Linked DNA regions of Neurospora crassa OR74A. The protein of the gene in region 1 purifies or fractionates together with the protein of each later gene. This does not show direct contact. Links are inferred from orthologs where the notes say so. Each region holds a gene or a part of one and is shown in the gene's direction. Other genes may lie near its edges.

Region 1 (4,388 bases):
ATAATGCACAAGGACAGCCACTGCGGCGTGTCCAGTCTATGCCGACTCGAACACAGAGGGCTGCGAGCAATCGACAGGCACCCGGCCAATTGCCGGTAGTAGTCCCCATTGTGGTTGACAGCACACCGGCCTCGCCTCGCAACAGTGAGGAAAAGCCAGCGGCCCAAGAGACAACAGAGGTCGAAGCCATGCCACAGAAAGCCGCCGTAATCCTTCTTCTGGCCTCGACCGGCTTGGTCGCCGTTTGTGCCGAGTTCATGGTGGACTCCATCGATGCAATCGTCGCCCGGGATGCCAATGCAACTACAGGCATCTCTGAAGCCTTCATCGGTCTAGTGCTCATCCCCATTGTAGGCAATGCAGCTGAACACATCACATCTGTGAGCGTGGCACTCAAGAACAAGATGGACTTGGCACTGGGCGTGGCACTGGGCAGCAGTATCCAGATTGCGCTGTTTGTGACGCCGGTAGTGGTTATCTTGGGCTGGATCATGGATCGAGACATGTCTCTCTACTTTACCCTCTTCGAGACTGTCTGCATGTTCGTTAGCACCTTCATTGTGAATTTTCTCGTTAGAGATGGGAGGAGTAACTACCTCGAGGGAGCACTTTTGGCATCTGCCTACCTCATTATCGCCGTGGCAGCGTTTTACTTGCCAAATCCAAGGTTGGCTAGCTCTGTTGGGTAAGGGTGAAGACAGAATTTAGGATGGGAGGTCGGAGTGTGTAGGCTACCTAGGTTCGGATGACAGATGAACGGTTATGGTTGAGGCCCAGACCGAAGGAGTAGTTTGTCTTGACTAAGGAGGTTTAGGCTTTTGCCAACAGCCATATCAGTAATTGTCGTAGCAGAGGCCGCATCAGATGCAGTATCAAAGCTAGTACCAGAGCCAGTGCCAGCCGTGACCGTACCCGACTTGGGACCAGCAGCAGCCGCAATACTTTGCAAGTGGCATTGGGAAAGCGAAAACCCGGGCAGCCTGGAATATCGGGACTGCCGGTCAATGAGAAGCGAGGGGAATGAGAAGTTTGGTCAATAAGTAGAGATAGTTGACGAGTATCCTGGTGAAGGGAATCCAGGGTATAGCGATTCCTCTGGACGTGGGCGATATTTGAGGGTCTGGGTCACCTAGACAAAGGGAGAGAAATGAATTTTTGTGCCTTGTGTAGTAGTATAGAGAAACAAAAAGGCGTCATGTCGGAACATGAATCCCCTCCGGAGGAGTCAAGAACAGCCGGGCGATGCTCATGCTGGGTTCATACATAGATGGGAGATCACGTAGGGTATACAGTATAACAGCTGTTGGGAAGCAGTGGTGACGACAAGTGGGAGTTGACTCGGAGTGTTGGAATGTTTGGAGATGGGATGATGATGACATGGGATGATGCCCGATGGTTCAAGTGGAAGGTTTGGATGCAGACGCACTAACAGCGCTAAATCGTAAACAGCCCTGGCCCAGCTTCGTGATGCCCCTGTGGAGACATGGGGAAAGCAAGTGTGGGTCAGAGCTCCATTGGAACTGGACATGCCAAGCCAGTTTTGCACGCCATCACCGCCAAAATTTTGGACTGTCCGCATTCTGCTGGGTCCAGCCTTTGCAGGGGCAGCAAGTCCAGTGCAAACCCAGAAGGCCCCCAATCCATCAACACTTCCTGGAAGTCGGGCGAGTATCGCAACACACTTTCAGCGACAACTTCTGGCACAACATAATCCAAGATGGCGACAGTACTACCACCCCCGTCGAAGCGCCAAAAGAGAGAGGAGATTGAGCGCACCACAACACAGCTCGATGTCGCCCCGATACTGGCGCCTGAGCTCGGCTCCTTCAAGGCCAACTTCGTCGACAGCGATGGCAACCAGATGACCGATGTCATCGAAATCAACTTTGCCGATGCCACCGAAAAGAACATCTCCGTCTTGCTCAACACCCTGCTCGAGAGGGACCGCGAAGAGTTCACCCCATACCGATTCCGCATCCATATTCCCGGCAAGGATATCATTGTCGACCAGTACCCTTCCGACCTCCTCGGCCTTCTCAAGCAGCATGGTGTCGAGAACCCCTTCGAGTATGCAAGACCCGGACACAGGAAGCCCAGCACGTAACTGCTTCGCTAACCTCCGCATAGAACCACAATTACTCTTAGTGCCGAGCCCCAGGCTGTTTTCAGGGTACAAGCAGTTTCGCGCCTTGCCCATCGCATTCCCGGTCACGGCCAACCCATCCTCGCAGCCCAGTTCTCGCCTATTTCATCCGGACGCCTTGCTACCGGCAGCGGCGACAACACAGCTCGTATTTGGGATACAAATACAGGTACCCCGAAGCACACATTGAAAGGGCACACCGGCTGGGTCCTCGGCGTCAGCTGGAGACCCGATGGAGAGCAACTAGCGACCTGCAGCATGGATGGCACAGTGAGGATATGGGATCCCGAGGCCGGCAAGCCCGTTGGTCAGCCTTTCAAGGGCCACGCCAAATGGGTGTTGATGACGGCGTGGCAGCCGTACCACTTGTGGAGAGACGGCACCCCTAGGATTGCCAGTGCTAGCAAGGATGGTACCTGTAGGATTTGGGTTGTCAACACAGGCCGTACCGAGCACGTCCTGAGCGGTCACAGGAGCTCCGTCGCCTGCGTGCGATGGGGTGGAACCGACCTCATCTACACGGGTTCGCACGATAAGGTTGTCCGGGTATTCGACGCCGTCAAGGGCACCTTGGTACACAGCTTGACATCTCACGCCCACTGGATCAACCATATTGGTTTGTCCAGCGACCACGCCCTGAGGACCGCCTACTTTGACCACACCAAGGACGTCCCTTCCACCGAGGAGGGCAGGAGGGAGAAGGCCAAGGAGCGTTTCGAGAGAGCGGCCAAGATCAATGGCAAGGTTGCTGAGCGCATCGTATCTGCCAGTGACGACTTTACCATGTACCTGTGGGACCCCACCAACAACGGTACCAAGCCCGTTGCTAGACTTTTGGGACACCAGAACAAGGTGAACCAGGTCCAATTCTCTCCCGATGGCACTTTGATCGCCTCGGTTGGTTGGGATAACAGCGTGAAGCTCTGGAATGCCAGGGATGGCAAGTTCCTCAAGAGCTTGAGGGGTCATGTTGCACCCGTGAGTTCCTTACCCACATTCATCTCTTACCACGAGGGGAAAGTTCTAACGCGTTGATACTTCAGGTCTACCAATGCTCCTGGTCCGCCGATAGCAGGCTTCTGATTACGGCTAGCAAAGATACTACCCTCAAGGCATGGAATGTGCGCACTGGCACTCTCGCCATGGACCTTCCCGGACACGAAGACGAGGTATGTGAACCAAATCACGGCGACATCGGTGTTCCCACTGCTGGAAAATTCTAACTCGCTTCCAGGTATACGCTGTGGACTGGTCGCCGGATGGCAAGATGGTAGGATCAGGCGGAAAGGATAAGGCCGTGAGGACATGGAGAAACTAAAGAAGAGGGCAAGAACGAACCTTACTCTCCTACAGCCAGCAGTCGGAACCCGAGAGCCCCCGCTCTACTTCACTCGCGGAGGCCTCAGCGGGGTGATATGACTTCTGGCCTGCTTCCGTGGTGTTTGCAGCAGTTTGCCGTTCGCACGAACGAGCCGGCTTGGGATACTACATGCCCAGGTATCTGCCAGAAACAACTTTCACGGCAATCTTCGCGAGCCAAGTTTCCTTGACGTCAGCCTAGCTACTAGTATCGGCTCACCAAAGAGGCCTTGCTGAGTCAATACGCAACACGGCTGCACACATCACCTCGACTCGCAGGGTGGTGATGTTGTGTGGCTGTTAAGTGCTTACCGACTGCGCCTCTGCCAAACTTTCCGAATCGCTGGGCAAGAGCGAAAGAGGCGATGGAATGGGCCTGGCAAATCGGTAAAATCTCCCGCCGCCAGTTCAATGTTACCAAACCGCGCGACCACACACCAAGACCAACAAGACGCTCGAAAGATTTGGAAAATGGAAAGCACCATAGATAGACAGAGACGTGGTCATGTTAAGCGATGTCCGGGGGTATCCATTTGAGGTTTGATAGATGCGAGCATTTGATGGAATGGTTCTCATTGCGCGCATCATGCAGGGCGTTACATAGGTGCCACGATATAGACAAGGATAGTGATATGCATTCATGGCAACCTAGAGAGACGTTGTTTAATCATGACGTTTGGAGCTAGTGAACCAGCCGTTGATGTTCAGAGTTACGAATATGTAACTTTCGAAGACGGCATATGATTCACTTTCCCGAAGCAACAGACCAGAGGTAGCAAGAACCACGCACACTGCAAGCCTTTTTTTTTCTTTTTTCTGAAGCATCCTTCGAAGGCCCGGACGGGAGCTGCCACTGGTCCTATGGGTCCCGGTCTGTAGCAGGCAA
Region 2 (3,544 bases), on another chromosome or scaffold:
ATCCAATCATCTCGAGTGGCTGGACGTCACTTTTGTATCACAGCGGCCCGTCTGTGAGTTCCGTCGTCTGATTCTGTGATGTCTAATGGCACCACGGAGCGAGGAGTGGTCCGGTGCGCGTGTGCTGTGGCTGGGGGAGGAAGCAGTAGGTGTTGGGTTTGTAATTTTGATCCTTTGTACATTTCAGTAGATACCAAGTTTGAGAAGGAAGATTACGGTGAACCGCATGGGATAATTACCGACAAGAAACTGGAAAGAGATAGCGACATCTTGACTTTCCTATACTTAGTGTACGGTTTGTATCAGGAAAGAACGATCTCGGGACCCTTACTGTCGCAGGGCAGGAGCTAGTCTGGTGGAGCCTCAGGGGAACCCGACTCCACTTTTGACGCTTTCCCCGGATTCCGTCCCCGCATCTTTGAGTTAGCGCTGTGGATCTGATGGGGCTCTCGGTCAGCACCCGACCCTCAACTCCGCTGTGAGTGAGATGAAAGGAGCACTGTGATTGGGGAAGGAGTGAGGAAAGTCCATTGCACTTCAAGTTCAATCTGAGAGACGGAGATGCGTTATATCAACCAAGTGTCAAGGAAGACCTCTTTTTGTGTAAAGCCTAAGTAGTCACCTTCAACAGACACTGGCCTACTGCCGACGGAGTTTCCATCACAGAAGGTCTTGATCATTGTGAGAAATGACAGACAATTCAAGATCCGATTTCGCCACAGTCTCCGAGAAGAACTTGACGCCTTCAGTTGTAACTCGAATAGATTCTTCAGACATGGTAAAAATTGCAGTCACGAACACCGATGATACCCGGTGTTGAACATTGTAGAGGGTGTCAGACTTTAATCGTTAGCAGTAACTGATGGGAAAGAAAGAGAGTGGAGCTAGCAATGTTAGGGTCCGCGAGAGTCCTGTTAACAGAAACCAATGCCATCTTGGTGACTGAACATTGTCGCGAAGCGAAAAGATCGTGAGCTCAAGAAGTATTGTTGGATGGATCGGGGAATATACTGATTTGGGAAAAGTAAACATGCCCGTCGACTTGAGCATCATGGCCATCGCTTGTCGAGAGAGCATCGAAAGTAAGCAGCCGCAATTGCCGGCCAACTTACATCGAGGAATCGATCATCGGGAACCATCATTGTCAAATCAAGAGAAAAGAACCGTCTGGGCTGGCGTATATGCACGCTCAACCCTAACCCGAGTCTTGTCGGCTGATAGCACGATAGCGCTAAGATAAGCCAAGCGTCCCCTCCGCCCCACTTTACTTTTCCAACACCGACATCCAGAAATTTTCAGAAGCGGCGCCCTTGACCGTTTCGCTGTTGTTGACTTTGTTGCTTGCTTCCCCCTCTCCTCCCCCCCCTCCCGAACAGACAACGAGCCCATCCTCACCCGGCTCGCTGCTTCTCTCCTCAACCACCACCACCACCACCACCACCACAACCACCCACATAACCCGTCAAGATGCGTGTCGATCCCTGTTTCTTTTGCGGCCGTCCGGCCTGGCCCTCCAAGGGCATTACCTTTATGCGTAACGATGGTATGTTTTTGTCATACTTCAGTTCCCCATCATCAACCTCTCCGTCAAGGCCAATTGCTAACCAGGGTACAACTAATGTTACAGGCAAGTCCTTCCGCTTCTGCCGCTCCAAATGCCACAAGAACTTCAAGATGAAGCGCAACCCCCGCAAGCTCAAGTGGACCAAGGCCTACCGCAAGAACGCCGGCAAGGAGATGGTGGTCGACAGCACCCTGCAGTTCGCCGCCCGCCGCAACGTGCCCGTCCGCTACGACCGCGAGCTCTTCGCCAAGACGGTCAAGGCCATGGAGCGTATCTCGGAGATCCGCCAGCGCCGCGAGCGCATCTTCTACAAGCGCCGCATGGCCGGCAAGCGCGCCCGCGAGGTCGCCGCCGCCCGCAAGCTCGTCGCCGAGAACGAGCACCTCCTCCCCCGCCTGCGCGGTTCCGAGAAGAGGAGGCTGGCCGAGCTCGCCCAGGAGACGGGCCAGGACGTCGAGGAGCTCGAGCGCGAGGAGCTGGCCAAGAAGGCTGCCAGCAAGAAGACCAAGGCGTTTGGCGGCGAGGTCAAGAGGCTCCGTGTCAGGACAGACGGCGGCGTGGAAGAGATCTCGGAGCGCGTCGCTGGTGGAGGCTTGGTCGATGAGGATGACGATGACGAGAACGATTTCGAGGACGTGGACGATGACGACGAGATGGATACCGACTGAGCGCCCGAGTCTCTGTAACTATTACTACCGCGACCACCACCACCGCCAACCACCACCACCACCATCACCAACACCGAAACCAGCCACCTCTTTTCTCGGGATCATTCGTTGTTTGCTTGTTTTCTTCGGACGAACTCGCTCCCGCGGCTGTCGATATCCCTATGCGGGGGAGGGTTCTGCTGTATTTTTTCGGCGGCCTTTCCTCGCCACTGAGACCTGCCTAGTTGACACCAGCAACAAAGCCCAACTACGACGAACGGGTCTTGGTGTATAAAGACGGAACGACCAGAAAGAGGACAGGACAGACAGCAATTGGTTGACCAACAGCCAATACTCTAACTGTAAAAACAGTAACTGTGGCTTTGGACAGACAGACAATCCTCCCCCCCGAGCGATGGCTGCTTTCGGGGCTTGCTTATACCCCTTGCTTGGTTGGTTGGTCGTTGGTCGCTACAGGTCATTGGAAAGATTCATTATATTCAGAACCATGGTTTTCAAGGGGGGGATCAATCAGTCTACCTTTAGTAGCAAAGCATATTTTCGGTTTTATTGGAATCGGCGAATTTGGCGTTTAATAGACACGGGGAGACCCACAATATGAAGTACTTGTTTGTTTTTTTCTTTCTGCCATGTCTTGTCTTGTTTTATAGTAGTAATCCTCAGTACTTTCTGACTCGACAAGTTACTCGTTTCTGTCTTCTGCCAACGTGACTGACCTCTGTAGCTCGAGACCTGACTAGGTATCCTAGCCAAGGATATATCCAAGGTCAATCTTGGACTACTACCCGTTCGTTGATTCCATCTTGCACTCAGTCGACAACACAACAACTCTAAACAACACCTAAAAGACACAGTTGGTTCAAGTCGGTAACTAAATACAAAGTATTATATCTTTTATCATTTGTATTATTATAAGCGTTAAGACCCGACAAAACCAAACCAACCCCTTCCTTCGCATGCTAATGCTCCGATCGCCTTGCTTTAGCCAGCCAGCCAAACCGTAAGCACAAAGCACAGCCAAGTTTCTCATTATAGTTTGCTTCCCCATTTGTCAGGTTGTCTAGCCCACCCACCTCTATTTCCCTCCCCCCACCCCCCATCATCATCATCATCAAGTTCCATCTCATTCTCTCATCATATATTTACCCCATTATATCGTTAACCTCGTTAACATCGTCAACATGATCATCATCCCCATTGCTGTCTTCATCCCCAGCCGTCACGGTTTCCCAACCAGCACGCCCTTTCCCTAGGGAAGAGGAATTCAGCTTGTCCTGCCCTGATCAGACCAGAGCAGACCAGACGAGAGCAG
Region 3 (3,628 bases), on another chromosome or scaffold:
GCAATCGTTGAGTTAGCATTGGTGTCTCGGAGAACATCGTGGAGAAAGTGTTGTAGGTTGAGGTAATCGCATACCGCTTTGTTCGCCCAAGAAGACCAACCTGGCGAGGAGAAAGAGTGGTTAGCATCTTGTCTTGTTTTGTCTTCCATTTGACTTAAGTGCATTGTCTGCAAAAGTGTCGGGTATGTTGTCTTACTTGAATTTCTTCAAGGGGTTGTTGTATGACCCGCCTGCTTGCGCCATTGTGATGGATGTGTTTGCGGATTAACGGTATTTGGCGGGGTAGGTAGGTAGGTAGGTAGGTAGGTAGCTGAAGGTATTCGGAAACACGATCAAGGGGAGGAAGCTTTCGGACTTTGGAGGAGGTGGTGGTGGTTAAGTGGCAGAAAGCTTAGTAGTGTAGGCGGTCGGAGTTGGTCTAGAGTTAGATAGGTGTCTGCTGGTCGTCGAAGTGGAAGATGGACGGCGGCGGAGAGTTGCCGGAGACTGATCATGCAGCGTTGAGTGGTCTCAGTGGTGCGACGGACGGGGCGTGGTGGCCGGGGGGTGGATGACAAGGGAGCTTGGAGGACAATCGGGTCGGTGTTTGGGATCCAGTCGGGGTCTCGTTGCCGACTTGGTTGCTGGGGTCTTTGCAGTCCGTCGAGTCTTCGTTTACCAAACAAAAATCGGGTCGAGAGATCGTTTTATAAGAGTTGATACCACAGAGAGCAGAAAATACTTGAACATTTAATATTTTGTTTGGATACAGATTAATTGATTGACCGACATTCCGTATGTACGTATGTACAAGTTTACATGTTTTTATCCATTGTTTATGCATAACCTCAAGTTCGAACAACAAAGTGTTTCTTGCGACTATTATTCAGTCTTCTTCCCCGAAGCGGACTCATGCGAGAGAAAGGGGACCGCGCCAAGCGATCAGTGGAGGGAAACAGTGGCCGCCCGCCGCCTTTCTGCGCCCAGACAAATTCGACACTTCACTTGACCAAAACGACCGAGACCGGGCATCCAATGGAAGCTTGGCGGCCGTCATTGGATTTGTCCAGAGGCCGAGGCAGCTTGGAAGTCTGATTGGCTAATTGCTCCAACTGCCAGCTGAGCACGGCTGGGGAAGGGAACTGAAGCGCTGGACGCTTGTGTTCCATGAAGTTGCTCTTCCCTGTCCTGTCTCGGGCAGGTCTTTCTTATCTTATCGCTGCCTCCTGTCGCCGCTGAAATTTTGAGTTGCACACCCCACTGGGCAGTCGGATTGATTGCAGAGGAGACCCCAGAATTCCAGGCGGTTTCGAGGTATCAATATTTCCAATTTCTTATCTGCCTCGAACCTCCGCCGACTCGTTTGATTTCTTCGAGTCGTCAACCCAACAACACAACACACCATCACATCACATATCCAAAATGCCCGTCCTAAAACCCTTGTCGGGCAATCCCGAAGCCCCCAAGCAATACAACCAACCGTCGAGAAAGGGCAAGAAGGCGTGGAGGAAGAATGTCGACGTGACAGAGGTCGAGCAGGGTCTCGATGAGTTGAACGCCCAGATTATCAAGGGGTACGGCGCTCCTTCTGTGATGCTTTGTATTACCAAAGACACCAATTGGTTAACATGAATTATCGTATAACAGTGGTGTCATTGCCGAGAAGACCTCCGAAGAACTCTTCGCCATCGACGTCAAGCCCGACACCGAAATCACCAAGAAGCTCCCCAAGCAACTCAAGAAGCCCTTGAAGGCCGACGAGATCCTCGCCCAGCGCTCCGCCGTTCCCGCCGTCTCCCTCAAGAAGCGCCCGGCTTCTGAAACCTCCGGCAAGGTCACCGACGGCGTCCTGCCCTCCAAGCGCCTGCGGGCCACCTACGTCACCCAAAAGGAGCTCAGTCGCCTGAAGCGCGTTGCCGACGGCCACCACACCACCACGGTTGAGGTCGTTGACGCCACCTTTGACGCCTGGGCCGACCCAGAGGAAGAGCAGAAAAAGAAGCAGCAGGCCGCGGAAACGTTCAACTTTTTGCCCAAGGTCGAGAAGCCCAAGGCGCCCAAGACGCTCACACAACAACCCATCTCCCTCGCCGCCACCGGCAAGCAGCTCCCCGCCGTTCCCAAGCCCAAGGGCGACAAGTCGTACAACCCCGCCTTCACCGACTACTCGGAGCGCTACCAGGAGGAGCTGCGCAAGGCCGAGGAGGCCGAACGGAAGCGGCTGGAGGAACTCGAGAAGGAGCGTCTCAAGGCCGAAGCGGCCGCCAAGTCGCGCGCCGAGGCCGAGGCCGCCGAGAAGCGCGCCGAGCTGTCGGAATGGGAGGATGATTCCGCCTGGGAAGGGGCCGAGAGCGACGCGGAAGGGTTGGCCAACAAGAAGAAGCGGCCGGAGCGCAAGACGCAAGCCCAGCGCAACAAGATCAAGCGCCGCAAGGCCGAGGAGCAGCGTCTGAAGCACGAGGCGGCCATCAAGAAGAGGGAGGCCGAGGCCGCGCGGGTCAAGCAGATTGCCAAGGAACTGGCCGAGAAGGAGAGGCAGCTTGCTCTCCAAAAAGCCGAATCCAACAATGTCGAAGAGGACGATGCTAGCCTTGAAGAAGATGACGACGTCGAGCTGCGCCGTAGGCAACTAGGCAAGTTCAAGTTGCCCGAGAAGGATCTGGAGCTGGTCTTGCCGGATGAGCTGCAGGATTCGCTGAGGTTGCTCAAGCCGGAGGGTAACTTGTTGAAAGACAGGTACAGGAATATGTTGCTTAGAGGCAAGGTGGAGGCGAGGAGGCACATTCCCTTCAAAAAGCAGGCCAAGACAAAGGTCACGGAGAAGTGGACTTTCAAGGATTTCAATCTGGCTTGAAGCGGCTCGGCTGGGTTTAAGTTTTGGGGCTTTACGGACATATACATATTCGGATTTGTTTGGTAATTGTTTTTCCTTCTACAAAATATTCCCTTTTGGTTTTTGTTAGTAGTACGTTTGTCATGTGTATATTGGCGTTTACGGTTTTCTCACTTGGTCTTCAGTGCAATAAAAGGTTGGAACATTCAAAGTGGTCCTATGCTCGCGTTTTTGTCTTTCAAGTCTTGTAGTGAGATGACATTACATGAATGTCTTCACACTCGCCCATTAACACACCAGAACATACGTAGTGACGGGATATTACTTGTTATTCGCATTATCTACAACCAAAAACCCTAACTGGATATCTTTTCCCACCACCCTACCAAATCACACACTCACCACGCTTCCCCAACTCCTAGTCTGTCTATTACATTACTACCTTGTCTCTCCTCTCTTCCCACTCTTACCCCTTCCCATCCCATCCCCCCTTTCCATTCGGAGCTAGGCACCCCTCACACCACACTCCCTCACAACAACAAATCCCCCTGAGCCCCATTCATCCCTCCCATGCCATTCATCCCCCCCATCCCCGGCTGGTACGCCGAGCTCTGACTGACCACGTACCCCTGTCCATACCCATAATGTCCCGCATCCCCACCAAAACTGTCGCCGGGCTGCTGTATCTGCATCTGCCTCATCTGCTGCGCAAAGTACGCATCCGCATCATTGACCGCCGCCTGCTGGTTCGCTTGCTGCGTAAAGTAGGCGTCCGCATCATGTACCGCTTGAGCCAAGTTCCCTCCTTGTTGACTC

The links.
Region 2: the proteins of NCU00794 (region 1) and NCU05235 purify together in Saccharomyces cerevisiae (affinity purification with mass spectrometry; 3 studies listed by BioGRID). This does not show direct contact. The link is inferred for Neurospora crassa OR74A from reciprocal best matches to the Saccharomyces cerevisiae genes RSA4 and RLP24.
Region 3: the proteins of NCU00794 (region 1) and NCU05233 purify together in Saccharomyces cerevisiae (affinity purification with mass spectrometry; 5 studies listed by BioGRID, with this or other methods). This does not show direct contact. The link is inferred for Neurospora crassa OR74A from reciprocal best matches to the Saccharomyces cerevisiae genes RSA4 and NOP53.

What each region holds. Positions count from the first base shown.
Region 1 is NC_026501.1:7,141,655-7,146,042, forward strand, and holds NCU00794 (ribosome biogenesis protein Rsa4), read left to right. Parts: upstream 1-1,566; 5' UTR 1,567-1,717; coding exon 1,718-2,067; intron 2,068-2,127; coding exon 2,128-3,121; intron 3,122-3,186; coding exon 3,187-3,312; intron 3,313-3,377; coding exon 3,378-3,461; 3' UTR 3,462-4,164; downstream 4,165-4,388. Other genes in the region: NCU00795 (membrane bound cation transporter), read left to right, coding at 1-689. UniProt on the Saccharomyces cerevisiae protein: Involved in ribosome biogenesis. Required for processing and efficient intra-nuclear transport of pre-60S ribosomal subunits.
Region 2 is NC_026504.1:5,664,138-5,667,681, forward strand, and holds NCU05235 (ribosome biogenesis protein RLP24), read left to right. Parts: upstream 1-1,317; 5' UTR 1,318-1,467; coding exon 1,468-1,543; intron 1,544-1,627; coding exon 1,628-2,232; 3' UTR 2,233-2,936; downstream 2,937-3,544. UniProt on the Saccharomyces cerevisiae protein: Involved in the biogenesis of the 60S ribosomal subunit. Ensures the docking of NOG1 to pre-60S ribosomal particles. Activates and recruits ATPase AFG2 to cytoplasmic pre-60S ribosomal particles.
Region 3 is NC_026504.1:5,668,638-5,672,265, forward strand, and holds NCU05233 (60S ribosome subunit biogenesis protein NOP53), read left to right. Parts: upstream 1-1,169; 5' UTR 1,170-1,401; coding exon 1,402-1,553; intron 1,554-1,626; coding exon 1,627-2,833; 3' UTR 2,834-3,020; downstream 3,021-3,628. Other genes in the region: NCU05234 (GTP-binding protein ryh1), read right to left, coding at 75-100, 197-243; NCU05232 (AP-2 complex subunit beta), read right to left, coding at 3,343-3,628. UniProt on the Saccharomyces cerevisiae protein: Late-acting factor in the nuclear maturation of 60S ribosomal subunits, which is required for normal acquisition of export competence. Required for the export of the large subunit.